2 linked regions of the Stegostoma tigrinum genome follow. The protein of the gene in region 1 purifies or fractionates together with the protein of each later gene. This does not show direct contact. Links are inferred from orthologs where the notes say so. Each region holds a gene or a part of one and is shown in the gene's direction. Other genes may lie near its edges.

Region 1 (7,352 bases):
TTGATGACATAATATGGCAGCTCTGTATGTTATCGACAATTGTTGAGCAGCTTCCTTGTTGAAAAGGTAGCATCTGGGAGATTTCCCGTTGGCAGTCTCTGTACTCATACATAAATCATTACTTTTCATGCTGGGTCCTGAAAAACAGGAAATGCAGCACTCAAATTTACCCACTCTTGTCCACCAATGACTTGATTCCAGCCTTATGACGTCAAGTGTTGAAGCCACCCAGCCCTGAAACAGTCCTATCATCCTCTTTCAGGGACGCAGGGCATTAATCTCAAGGAAGGAGACCTGCTGCGGATATGGGTATGGCCTGGCGCGAGACTTACACCATCTCCCCTGGATTTTCAAGGGCCAGCGAGAGCTCACTGGACGCCGTCGGAACCACGTTGCTTTCCAAGGCATGGGTCCCTCTCTTGGGGCGAACCCATTCAAGGGCACCCTGCCCTTCAGCCTGTTTGATTTATGCAAAGTTAAGGAAATGTTCAACATGGAGTCGCAACTTCTAAAATGCACTGGTAGCAGTGAAGTGTTTCTTTATCAAATATAGGTCAGCAACAGTACGGAGGAGGAACAAAATCATAGAATGCTGAACATATCAACAGAGAATTGCTAAACCAGCTCCAGTTTAAAATACCTCTAGTTCCAGGATTGCATAGAATCACAGAAATATTACAGTACAAAGAGGCCACCCTATCTTGTCTCCACTGGCTGTCTGGACAAAAATTGACTTCATGCATTTCCCATTTTCTCCTGATAATCCTGTACGTTTCCTCCTACCCTGATAAATTTAATTCTCATTTGAATGAATTTGAACCTGTCTCCACTACATTCTCAGGCATTGCAATCCAGATCTTAAGCAATCATTGAGGCTCTTCATACCTTCAACTGTTCACGTAAATCTCTTCTCACTTGAATACTTTCAAAGCTTTCCTAAAGTGTGGTGCCTAGAACTGAGCACGATGCTCCAGCCAAGGCTGAACTAGTGTTTTATATGAGTGTGATATAACTACCATGCTCTTGTATTCGATATCTCTAATAATAAAGGTCAGGATACTGTATGCTTATTATTAATGCTGTTTCAACCTCTCCTGTCACTTGTAGAGGCTTATGTACATATAATTCAGTTTCTCTGATCCTGTACCCTTTTTTAGAGTTGAGTTCTCTGTGTCCATGTTCCTCCCACCAAAATGTATCACTTTATAATTCTCCGCAATAGAATTCATCTACGACTTGTCACTGTCAACTTGTCTGACTTTTCAAAGTGCTGTACTATCCTCCTCATAGTTTACACTGCTTGAAATCATGTACAAATTTTGACATTTTGTCCTACACTCCAAGGTCTAGATTATTACTATATATGTACCAGGAAAAACAATGGCCCCAACACTGACCCTTGGGGAATTCCATGACAAAATTTCCTGCAGTCTGAAGAAATGTCCATTAACTACTACTCATTGTTTTGTCTCATACAACAGTTCCATATCCACATTGCTACTGTTCCTTTTATTCCATGAGCTTAGACTTTCCTCAAAAGTCTATTGTGTGGCATTCTGGAAGTCCACGAACGCTATGTCACATCATTGCTCTGATCAACTTCCTCCAATACCTCTTCAAAAAGTTTCAAAAATTTACTCAAGGTGAAAAATGTATTTTAAAATTCCCTAAGTAAGTGCCTGTGAATATTAATTGTATCCTGTATTGATTTTCCTGATAGATTCCCCAACGCAGAAATAAAGCTGACTGGCCTGCACTTACTGGCTCATCTTCATATTTTTTCTGGATCGAGTCTGCAATATTCGCAATTGTCCAGTCCTCTGGAACCACCCTTGAGTCAAGGGAAGTCAGAAAAATTATGGCCAGTGCCTCTGCAAGTTCCATTCTCACTTACTGTTCTTAGATGCATCTCATCTAGTCCTGGTGTCTGATCAACTTTTAAGTACAGACAGCCTACCCAATACTTTGTTCTCATCAAGTTCAACTTTTTCCATTCTTTCAAGAATTTTCCATTCTTTCACTATGGCCTGGGCAACAATTTCCTCCTTGGTAAAGACAGATGCACAGTCTTTATTTAATATCACAGCTAGATCCTTACGTCCATGTGTGTATACCGTTTTCAGTTCCTAACTGGCCCATTCCTTTTATTATCCTTTATTTGTTAGCCTACAGATGGCTTTGGTATACCTCTTTATATTAGCTGTCAGTCTCTTTGTTTCACTTGCTTTTTTTAAACCTCCTCTCTTAACAATTTATTCTCAGTCTGGTTCTCAGTTGTATTTTCCACCTGACATTGGTCATATCCGCAATGTTGTTTATCTTCATTTCTATCTCCTTAGTCTTATTTCATAGGAACGTTGGATTTGTTTGCCCTTCCTTTTCCTTTCAGGCACCTACTTGTGTGTGAACTATCTATTCTCTGAAGGCTACCTATTGTTCACCTTTGTTTTTTCTGGCAACATTTTACTGCAGTTTATTCAACTCAGTTTTTTTTACCCAACTGAAAGTGTAGAAACAAGTATGTTAGACCAGGGAAACCCAGTGGATGTTATCTATCTAGACTTACAAAAGGCCTTTGATACGGTGCCTCACGGGAGGCTGCTGAGCAAGGCGAGGGCCCATGGTGTTTGAGGTGAGCTACTGGCTTGGATTGAGGATTGGCTGTCTGACAGAAGGCAGAGAGTTGGGATAAAAGGCTCTTTTTTGGAATGGCAACCGGTGACAAGTGTCCGGCAGGGTTCAGTGTTGGGGCCACAGCTGTTCACCTTATATATTAATGATCTGGATGAAGGGACTGGGGGCATTCTGGCGAAGTTTGCCGATGATACGAAGATAGGTGGACAGGCAGGTAGTACTGAGGAGGTGAGGAGGCTGCAGGAAGATTTAGACAGTTTAGGAGAGTGGTCCAGGAAATGGCTGATAAAATTCAACGTGAGCAAATGCGAGGTTTTGCACTTTGGAAAAAAGAATACAGGCATGGACTAATTTCTAAATGGTGAGAAAATTCGTAAAGCAGAAGTACAAAGTGATCTGGGAGTGTTGGTCCAGGATTCTCTAAAGGTTAACTTGCAGGTAGAGTCTGTGATTAAGAAAGCGTATGAAATGTTGTCATCTATCTCAAGAGGGTTGGAATATAAAAGCAGTGATGTGCTTCTGAGACTTTATAAAGCTCTCATTAGGCCCCATTTAGAATACTGTGTCCAATTTTGGGCCCCACACCTCAGGAAGGACATACTGGTGCTGGAGCATGTCCGGCGGAGATTCACTCAGATGATCCCGGGAATGGTAGGTTTAACATACAATGAACAGCTGAGGATCCTGGGATTGTATTCATTAGAGTTTAGAAGGTTGAGGAGAGATCTAATAGAAACGTACAAGATAATGTATGGCTTAGAAAGGGTGGACGCTGGGAAGTTGTTTCCGTTAGGCGGGGAGACTAGGACCCGTGGGCACAGCCTTAGAATTAGAGGGGGTGAATTTAAAATGGAAACGAGGATACATTTCTTCAGCCGGAGAGTGGTGGGCCTGTGGAATTCATTGCCACTGAGCGTAGTGGAAGCTGGGCGTTAAATGTCTTCAAGGCAGAGATTGGTAAATTTTTGACCTCACAAGGAATCAAAGGCTACGGGGAAAGTGCAGGGAAGTGGAGTTGAAATGCTCATCAGCCATGATTAAATGGTGGAGTGGAAATGGCGGAGTGGACTCGATAGGCCCAATGGCCTTACTTCCACTCCTATGACTTATGGTCTTATGCGTTCTCCCACGTAATTATTCTTACTCTAGATTGCCCTTTGTCCAGGTCCATAGTCAGCTTAAATATTTTTACTTATTGTGATAAACATTATAATAAATATCTTAAATATAACGATGATCACTGACCCCTTAGACATCTTTGACCTACACCACCTCCTCCAAACCTACTGTGCGCCATCTTTAAAATCCAGACGTATGATTCCCCGCTTGACAGTCAATCAACAGCCCGCCCCCTGCGCATCAGGCCGCTCCCCCTTCATGTCTGGCCCGCCCACGTGCAACTGGCCCCACCGCCTGCACGTCCAGCTTCGCCACAAGCGCAGCTGTCCCCGCCCTAAATGACCAAGCTCCCCGCCCCCCGCCACCCCGCCTCCCCGGGCCCCTGCTCACCTGTCACCGACCCGAGCAAATACCGCCCCGCCCACGGAAATCAAGCCGCGACCCCGGACCGTCCAGATACACCCTCAAGCCTCCAGCCCGGCCGGGCTTCCAGAGCCGCCCACCTCAAGCACCGCCCCCTTTGCGTCTTGGCCCCACCCCATGGGTGTTTTGACCCCGCCTACTTGCTCCCCAAACTCCGCCTGTGAGCTCTCCGGACGAAGCCTGTAGATTCCACCCACTGGATTCCTAGATCCCGTCCTTGTGCTCCAGTCACGGCCCAGTGGATCTGTAGGCGCCCCACTTGGGATCCGTGGATCCCGCCTACTGGATCTCCCGATCCCGCCAATTCGGTCATATCGCGGCCGTTAGTTGCTCAGCGGAGAGATCTATTTGGGAGAGCCAAATGGTGTTCCCAGCCAATAGGAAGCCGGTTTATTGTGCTGTAGGCTCGGTCCCATGGTAACGGCGAGGGACAGGGCTGGATGTTGAGAGCTGGCGGCATCCCCTGGCCTTAGGCTTCAGTCTTTGGACCGCCGGCCAGCTCTCCGAGAGTGAGTGAAGCCAGGAGCTGTCTGTGGCTCGCGGAGCAGGATGGTGAGTGAGCGGTACCTGATCTTCAGGAATGGGGGCGGGGGGATGACTCCGTTGGGCTGCAGTGCACTGCACACAGGCGGGAGCTCGCATTTTGCGGAGGCCCAGCTCCTAGTAAGCAGCTCCAGGGCAGGGGTAGGCTGCCCTGCCCTGACCTGTGAGGGTACAGAAACCAAGAGAGCTCGCAGGGTGCTGTCCCCATCAACACAGCTACTGCTGTCGGCCCTGGAAGCTCTTAGCTTTGCGAATGCATCCTTCAGTCAAAGCACCGGGAATGAGCTGGATAAATGAATGTGGAAACACGCAAATGATCCATCCCTTGGTTTGTTTTGTCCTGGATGGTGTTACTTTTTATTGGGGGGTTGTTCCGTGGTGCTGCTGCTGCGCCGTTCCAACAAGTGAGGAAATAAAAGCAGGAAATGCTGGAACTTATGAACCAGTACTGGTGGAGAGAGACGCTGTAAACATTGCAGATGGAGGGTTTGTTTTTTTTCATGAACTCATGTTGATGTGGGAGAGGCTTTGAGGGGTCATTTAGTGGATCGGAGTCAGTATGCTGTTTTATGGCTAATAGTATCGATATAACTGGCCCAGTTGAGTTTATGCTCAGTGGTGATGTCCAAGATGTTGATGGTGCTGCTGAAGGTCAGGCGAAGGTTATTTTCCCTTGTGAAGGTTGCCATAATTTGGCACTGATGTTGTGTGAATGTTATCTGCTAAATTTCAGTCCAATTGAGAATGTTATTCAAGTCGTTTTGTAGACAAACCTGCACCTAATATGAATGAACTGAACGTTGTAATTGCCGGTGAAATGTCTGGTAGGAAGATTTCCTTCTGTGCTGTAAGTGCCAAGAAATGATTGAATACTTAAATAACTTGTGATGTAGAAATCTTTCTCTTCCTTCTGCAATTATGACATGCTTCTTGGTGTACACAGATACTGAATGGAATGTTAACCTGATTGTTGTATGGTTCACAGTTTCACTTGTTTTTGGGCTAGCCATAAAGATACCACAAAAAAGTTGTCTATCTGGCATTTGAGCGTATAAGGTTTGTTGAATTACCTAGCAACTGCATTATGGGCACTTTCTTCATCATAACTTTACTGAAGCATTAACAGAGATAATGAAGATGATGATTTTTATGGTTGCACCCAGGTAGGTTTTACTCTTTAAAAAGTGCAAAAGAGTTGCCTTAAAAGTTCCTCATAAAATCTGGTAGGTCCTGATGTTATTGACAGTGTAATTTGCTTGTCATCTGGAAGGATTGACTTCCCTCCATGTTACTGCTGTCACCAAGAAAACATTCAGACAGGGCTGAGTGTGATATGCTCATACTGTGTCTACCTGAACTTGCAAAACTCTTGATGCTTTACGTGAAGAGAATGGGAGCAGTATTATGCTCTGGTAAAGTAGGGATAATGTAAGGTCCATTCCTGGTAACAAATGCCACAGTACTTCTATCTGGGTTGAGAACTTAACACCAGAATTGCATTAGAGAACATTTGGTTGTTATAGCCTTTTCAATAGTCTTTTTGTGGTAGCTCTTGTCTTTTTGATTAGAAAGTGGGCTCATACCTCAGTCCAGTACTTTGGAGTATGTGGAATAAAGATCTCTAATTTATAACAATCAAAGGGGCCTTACTTTAATGTTTAATTCAGAAAGTGCCATATCCGGTGGTGCACCATTTCCCAGATATTGCGCTGTTTGGACACTCGTACACAAGAATGTACTCTTGGAGTCCTTCTGGTCAGTCATTTTTGAATTTCCAATATGTCACCGTCTTTTCTGAGTTCATTTCCAAAACTAACCATTCCATACTGGGTCACTATAATTGATCTGATCCCTGCTTAATTAGTGTGTTTATTTTTGCTTTTGTGAATTTGGTAAAATAACATTTTGAATGTCTTCCTTTCAATGTACTGGATCTCCATTATAATATAGTACTTGCTGTTTCTTTGTTGGTTAGGTGCCAGATATATGCAGCAATCCATTACTCTGAATAGGAGCCTGCAAACCAATTACTACTGTGATATTGTCCTACGCCAGGGAAGAGTTCCCCCAGCCCTCACCCCTGTCACATACAGGAGATATCAGCTAAAACTATGAATTTCCAATGTTGCATCCTTTCCTACTTGGCCTGTTTTGGCCAATGTTATCGTATCCTTTTAGAATTTAGAGTTATTAGGAGCTGAATGGTAAAATCTCTTTGTGGATTGGGCTTCCAAAAATCATGATCCAAATCAACCTACCATCTCTCAGGCCTGCTCAGGTCCTGCTGGTCTCATATACTTTTGTTCAAAGTTTCCACAGTAAATTCTCTCCTCTTGAAGCTTTCACAACTTGATATACCTGCACTGACCCAAAGAAGACTGTCTTTTTTAATCATTAGACTACTGAGGGAAAATGTTGAGCTGTTGCTGGGCATGAATCGGATGCTGTGAATCCCAAATTCAAGATTTGAAAACGTTTTTGCTATAATGTGGCAGACACACAGTTTCTTATTTGTCGCCACCCTATCACCATCAAACTCATCCTAGTCTTGTTTAATGCTGAACCCTATATTCTAGTCACTGTCCCAGGTAATACCTTTGCTATTATATAGCTTCCTGATCTTTTGTATAATG
Region 2 (7,374 bases), on another chromosome or scaffold:
CTTTAATCCCATCTTTCCTGAAATTCATTGGAAACATGCCATTGCAAGGGAGAGCAGGAACCTAATTTGTGCTAAACGGAAAGCAAGGATTATCTTAATTACTTCACAGCTGCACTGTAGGACCAAATCTAAATAGGTTATACTCGACCCATGAACAACTGGAATAACCAAGTCATCTGTAACTCAGCTTCTCACATCCGAAGGTGAAAAGAAACTAACAATATAAAATACATTGAGCACCTTCATTACATAAACAAAGAGCAGCACAAAGAGCATTGGAATAACCTCCTAGAGACAGCAAAAAACTGGGAATAGATTTTATGCAAAGCAGACAATGTATGTAAATGAAAACAGGTAGTTTCTGTCATGGACATGATGCAGGATTCTAAACTCAGCTCAGCATTAAACATCACATCCCAAGATTTATTTGGTCACTTAAGTGAGCAACAGCAAATTGACTTCGAAACAGATAGGTTTTCAAGCAAATGGCAAGAACAATGGCTTTGATTTTCCTGAAATTTGATGGAGGAATATGTCATCCATCCAGGACCAGGAGAAAAAGTAGTAGATAGCAGAAAAGCTCGGGCTTGGGAGTGTACGGATAGAAAGTTAACTGATTTTAAACATGTAGTACCACAGGGATGAGCAACAGTAGGCCAGGCTAGATCCTTGGAGGGCCTCTATCGGCAAATGTGGGGAAAAAATAGCAAGGTGATTGCTGGGGATTGACTGGCTGTGACCCATGAGTGAAGGGGGAAAACACACAATCCCACACAGCTAGAGAATGAACGTGTACTGGAGGACAGCATCAATCGTTAAACACATCAGATGCTAGAAACGGTTCAAGGCGGTAAGAGAGAAAGCAAGCTCGGTCAGTTATTTCAGATGTCTTTTATGACTGAGGCCATGGTTATCTTACTAATGTGTCGTATGCAAAACCCAGAACAGAAAGATTCAAACAGATAAGTTGGGCACAGAGTTACAGGCAATAATACTTTCAAATACTTGTCTTTAAGCTAGTTGCATTTTTGGATTAGAATGCATTAGCACCAATTTTGAAAATGGTAGTGATTACAGGTAAAAAAAAGGAGAATTGATGAGGTTTAAGATGGTTAGAGGACTGGATGGGGTACACAAAGAAATCATTGCCTCTCAGAGGGTTCAGGACAAGAGGGGCAGAGCATTAAAGTTTGAAAGCTTTTTGGGGTGATACCAGGAAGCTCTTTGAAATAGAACAGATAGTGGAAATCTGGAACACATTCCCTCAGAAAGCTGTGAGAAACTGAAAAATTCATCCAAAGCTGATCTTTGCTAGCAAGTGCTTTAGGACAAGGAGTTAAAAAGAAGTGAATGGAGTGGAGGTACAGATCAGCAAAACATAACTGAATAGCAGTATAGGTTTCAAGAGGCTGAATATCCTACTTTTCATATTGTTACGTCTTGGATTGGTGCCAGGGGCCGTTAACTGATAAAGATTGAATGGGAAGTGTCAAATAACAGAAGAAAAATCTCACGGAAGAGATGAGTAAATAATTGCAAGGTGGCAAGATCATATTTGGGAGATTGTAGCAAGATTGTTTAATCTAATACAACAAAACACTGCATAAATGTTTTAGGAAATAATCTGTGATAAACGCTGAATTATTTTTAAACATATTTGGAAAAGCATAAGTGACTTACTGGTCTTCAGTTCCAAAGAATTTCACAAAGAAGCATTTTTTCCCCCGTGGTTTCTTGAGATCTTTGGGTGGATGAACAATCTTACAACAAAAAAAATTTTTAAAATGTTAAATTGGTCATAAATAAGAATCATACTTCATCTCGGGAGGAAAAAAAAAGAGCTAATCATAACTTTTCAGATCCAGAATGGCAGTCACTACAACATATAATCGAATAATCAGATCAGTAAATGGCTGATTTCCATTGAAGTGACACCCACAGTATTGTTAGGAAGGGAGTTCCAGGAACAGCAAAATAATTCCAAATCAGGATGGTTCTTGGCTTAGAAAGGAACTTGCAATGAGTGGAGTCATCCATTACGTTTGTCTTTGGAAGGTGTGGTCACAGAAGCCTTGGCAAATTGCTGTTATGCATAGTATAGGTGCTACATACCATGCCCACTCTGCATTTCCCATGTGTTGTTGATCCAGGCAAGTGAAGTACATCATTGACTGCAAAAGGGCTGTTTCATATTAAGCAACAAGCCATTTTAGAACGATTTATCTGAAACTGCTGATACGTTCAAATGTGATCTTTAAAAAAAATTCCAGAAATTGCTATCCGACAAAAACACTTCCATGGGATAACGACACTAATAAACGTAGCCACTTTTTATTCCAGTCCCAAACAGGTCAGAAGTCAGGGTAAGGTAGCCGTAGAGAAAAAAAAAATTAAATGTTGCATTGAGACAAGTGTTTCAAATGTTGTAGTGTTTAAAAGCACTTACTTTCAAGATTTCTTACACAGAAGGAACTAATCTTTGTATTTAACTTTTGATTTGTTCCAATGAGGTGATCCTTCGCCTTCCAGTTATTTTTAAACATCAGTTTCCATGTAAGTAATTATTTATTTGACTTTTGTGTCAATAGATAGGGCAAAATAGCAGGATGACCATAATGTTCCTGAACTAGTAATCCGGAAATTCAAACGGATGCTCTGGAGAGGAGAAATGCAAACCCACCAAGGAAGCTGATGGAATTTAAATTCAAAAAATAAATCTGGGATTGAAAGATAGTATCGCTAGTTATTTAGGAGCCTCTAACAAATTTTATTTTGAAGCTGTCTTGCCAGTTCATACCTCGTACTAGTTGATGCTAATTGACAAAAAGAATTAGAATAATTCCCTCCAAATTTTTGATCAAGGCCGAAAGCCAAATGATGTTCCAGAATTTCTTGCAATACTGATTCCAGTTTTAGCATGCAACAACTTTACATTTCACTTCAAATGCTGACTGTAATGGCCTGAATGTCTTCCAATAATCCTACTTCAAACAATGTGGCAGTGCATCAAAACTGCTCAGTCATCAGTTCATCATACTTTTGCCATTAATTCTGGGATCAGCTGATCGTCTCATTACTACTATTAACCTTCAAAGCGCACAAATCTAACCTAAATGTTAGCATAATCACTGCAATAGCATTGACGGAATACAAGGAACAAAAAAGGTGTTCTATACGACGTAGGGAAAATAATGTAAAACCCTGTTCACCAAAGAAGGCGGAGCACTAGCTACGAAACCACAGGGTGTAACTCCTCGTAGGAGTACCTTCAAAATGTGGAAGCAGATCTACAACTCGAGGATTAGCTCTTTAAACTAAAGCCGTTTGTTTTCAGAAACTGAGTCCTTTCGATAGTAACTTTAACAGGGAACACCCATCGCGGTGGAAACAATCCGGTTTCAGCAGTCAATCGCTCTGAACATTGAACAGAACGGGCTCAAAGTGAAGGAGCACCGCCACTCGCCCAATAAAACAAGCTCGATTTCCTCATAGGGAGAGCGAAGGAGAAAAGGCTGGCGGGGTCGGTCTTGGGATCCTCTGTCCAGATCCCTCCACGACATGAAAACTGGATAGTGCTTTGCTCTGTCCCACCCCAGTGATCCTCATCCACAAAACTCCCCACTCGCCTTCCACAAATAACACAGGCAAAGAGGGACAAGGAAGGAGGTGGGAAGAAAGAAACGTTTAAACGTTGTGTTTCGCACTCACCTTTCCTGGCCAGGGTGGATATCGACCCAGTTTGCCCCTGAGAGAAGGGAAAGAAAGAGCATAAGCGATTATTTTTTTTCGTGAGAGGGGTTGGTGTGTGTGTGTCGGGAGGTAGGAGCTTTTCTATCAAAGAAAAATAAAAACGACACTCGATGACAGCGGCTGGCCGGAGAACTAAACAAGCTGCCCGCGCGATCGGGTTGAAAGGAGAGCGATCATAAGCCGCTGTTGCCTCTTACCAGACCAGATCCCCCACCCGCAAGCTGACAGCCGCCATCTTCCTCAGAGGAATTCGTCCATCGCCCTCTCAACGGCGACACCCCGCCCCCAGCCCGGGGCCCTCCGTCCGTCGGCCCGCCCGCCTGCCTCCTCCCCGTCACGTGACACGACCGGGTGAAAGGTCAACGCCCCACCCCCTCCCCAAACTCCTCAACGGATTTATTTTACGAATGTTTTTTCTTTCCGTGTCGCGAAGCGAACGAGATGGAATTCCCGAGGAAAAGGATGGAGGGGGAGGGGCTGCGTTTCGGAAACACTCGCTTCCCCTCCCCCGCCACAAACCCCGCCCCCCCAAAAAAACGCGCGCGCCCGCGGAGAGCGCGTGTGTGCGCGCGCGCATGCGCGGCAGCTCGGGAAGATGGCGGCGGCCGAAGTTTTGTCGGGTTTGTTTTTGTTGCTGTTGAAGGGATTGTGATTGCCCGCCACCGCTACCCCTCCCCCGCTTCTTCCTGTCAGCGGTTCTTTTATTTGTTTTAGATTATCCCCTTCCTCTCCGCCAACACGACAGGGTGAAGACAGAGAGGAGAAGTGGGGGGAAAGGTGTTGACAAAAAATATATATAAAGAGCGGCCGAGCGAGTGGGTCCCGCGCGACTCGCAACATGGCCGAACCGCGACGAGTGTCCCTGACTACCCTGCCCGTGTCCGCTCCTCTCCTGAAGAAGAAGAAAGAAGACAAGGAGGAGGCAGCGGAAGAGGAGGAGGAGGAGGAAGAAGAAGAGGAGGAAGGGGGTGAGGAGGCGACGGCCGTGATGGTGCTGAAGGGGGAAATAGCGGCCGTCACCTCGCGCCACACGCTGGCTCTCTTTGAGTCGAGCGAGAAGAGTTGCCCCGAGTTCTTCTACCCCGAGTTGATGCGAGTGCGGAAGGTGAGCGATCCTCGTCTCTCCCAGCGGCAGACTCCAGCGTGAAAAGTAACGCAGACGCTCTCGATCTAGAGTACACCCCCTCCCCTTGACCACCCCCCCCCCCCCATCGCCGAGTCACCGTTAATACAGAAACAATCTATCCCCGTCTTTTTGGAATTAATTTTGGAGAATATTTAATTTGAAAAGAGGTAGAAGCTCTCCCTTACCGCTCCGGGCATTAAAATTAGTTTAGCTTTTCCTAGTTAGTTCAGAGTTTGCACCGACACGTTAATCCTGCTCAATGTCGTATTTTAAACAGGGACAGATGGTATTGCATATATCTGATCTAGTTGACGTGACCTAATCAGCTACTGTTTTCTGTTGTTCAAGACCGCCCCATTAATTTAATGTTGCTGAAAGTTTCAAGCAATAATCGATCTGGAAATTAAACAGTAGGATTTAGTGTTCTGTATTAGTAGCCGCTTTATTCGATTGTTGTCGTATCCTGGTTATTCATGAGTCAGAATGTAAATTTAGCTCTCAAAATGATTTGTTTTCACAAATAAGATTTTTTCAAAACTGAATAATTCAGAACAACATGAACATAAAATAAACTTGATTGCATGTGACAAAAGCAGTTTTCATGTTGAAGTCTGGTAAACTACAACATTGCTTTGTATTTAGGTCTAGCACTTGAGATCAGGCTGTTGAAATTAAAATATTGAATCCATGTTGGCATCTTGAAACTAGTTCTTAGTGTATTGTATAGGCAAGTTAGCAAAAGAGAACAGAAGATATGATACTGAAATAAAATTGGAGTAGAGATCTAGAATCACATTTGATCTGACTTGGAGCCTTTCTCTTGACTCATGTTATCCTGAAAGCTTTGCTAAACCACACACTGATGTTCTCGTGTGACGTATATGTAGCCCGACTCAATCCCATAGGTGGCCTCAATAAAATGAACTGTGTTTGTGGAAGAAAGAAAAGGAGACACCAAGTGTGAGTGGAGCACAGAGCAGACTATAGAATCAACAATTACAATTTCCACTGTAAAGCATTTAACCAGAAATGGGCTTTGCCTGTGAAATGATAGAAAGTGAACAGTTGCTATTAAATATACAAAGGTTCAGAATCGGTTGTCATGTTGGTGGGAAGATGAAATAATGATTTCATATCCTCTTTGTTCTTGCATTGCATTCCACCCTAACCAAATCTGAGATATTGAGCAAATAAGATGAATTCAGGGTTTCCACAATTGTGAAGACTTTTCTGCTTTGTTGAATTGTTGCTTTGATCTCACTTTTAAAGAGGAAGGTCCAGGAAAGCAAACCAGCTGCATTGATATAATCAAACTTCTTTTTCCAAAGTTGCTTGATTGTAAATTTCACAGGGATTAAAATAGAGGCACTTGGGTTTTATTTTTGAGTGATTTAACCAAAACATAATATCAAATATTTTATTAAGAAAGATTAAGAATCAGGTAGTCGGAACCAAGATTGGGGCAAGTTTTCATTCCTTCTGTTAAGATTTCCTTCTACAATCTGACTTAGTGCTTTTGCTGATTTGCCATGTTGCAAACCCACATGAATGTTTGGCTGACATGAGCCATACATTTTAAAGTTTTTCAGAGGCAGTTTTGAAGTGTATGTGATATGTGAATTTTAAGCACAATCTTACTCCTTTAATGTCCCCAACCAATGAATTGCCTATATTTACTAACAGCTGTTTCTGAATGCACATGTTTTGGATGCATAGTTCCTCTAAAATCTTTTTCAGGCTAAATGTTGCAAAGAACATTAGCCCTTTCCACTACTATGGTTAACTTCTCTCAATACTTCAATGTTTATGTCCCATTGTTGCAAACAATGCATTTTCAAAGGTACATCACAGCCACACTGACTTAGTTTATCTGCTGTGTGCCAAATGTAACAAACTGTTGATTCAAGCTCTTATCTGCTTTTTGCATAGGGAAGTAGTTCCAAGTTGGGTCTTTAATTCACAAGTAACAGAAATAGATAACTCAGAACCAGTCCATTGTCAAATGTTGATACTCCATACAAGGGTATAGTTCTACTCTCATTTGCTGAAACTATTCTCAAGTCTTTTCCGCTCCGTTCCTTCATTTGCCTATCCAGTTAAATGCTGCCAAGAATTTCTGTCAACCATAAACGATGGGACTGAATTTCAGATTTGTTCAATTGTGAATTTCTCCAAACCCCTTGCTCCAGATTCCGGCTATCACCTTTACCCCTCATTCTTGATCCCAACTTTGAACTATCCCTGTCTCTTCCTTTAATATTTTTACACATTATGGCATCGGAACAAACTATTTTAGAGCAAAAGGTATCACTTCACCTTTGTTCATATTGTCTGTTACTTATGAAGGGCACATTCAGTGAATTGCTAATACAAACTCAAGGTTCGTCTTGGAGGCAAAGCATGAATTTTGGTGGTCTTTGACTGGTAAAGCTTTGCAACCCCAAAAGTGTCAACCTTAAACTGTATTCTGTATTAATTACTAACCTGGTACAGGACAA

What was found. Proteins that work in one complex are often made in the same cells at the same time.
Region 2: the proteins of cabin1 (region 1) and ubinuclein-1-like purify together in Homo sapiens (affinity purification with western blotting; 6 studies listed by BioGRID, with this or other methods). This does not show direct contact. The link is inferred for Stegostoma tigrinum from reciprocal best matches to the Homo sapiens genes CABIN1 and UBN1.

Annotation. Positions count from the first base shown.
Region 1 is NC_081379.1:47,094,008-47,101,359, forward strand, and holds the start of cabin1 (calcineurin-binding protein cabin-1), read left to right. Parts: upstream 1-4,319; 5' UTR 4,320-4,725; coding exon 4,726-4,728; intron 4,729-7,352. UniProt on the Homo sapiens protein: May be required for replication-independent chromatin assembly. May serve as a negative regulator of T-cell receptor (TCR) signaling via inhibition of calcineurin. Inhibition of activated calcineurin is dependent on both PKC and calcium signals.
Region 2 is NC_081376.1:47,043,596-47,050,969, reverse strand, and holds the start of ubinuclein-1-like, read left to right. Parts: upstream 1-4,278; 5' UTR 4,279-4,588; coding exon 4,589-4,855; intron 4,856-7,374. Other genes in the region: glyr1 (cytokine-like nuclear factor N-PAC), read right to left, coding at 1,681-1,760, 3,709-3,745, 3,948-3,985. UniProt on the Homo sapiens protein: Acts as a novel regulator of senescence. Involved in the formation of senescence-associated heterochromatin foci (SAHF), which represses expression of proliferation-promoting genes. Binds to proliferation-promoting genes.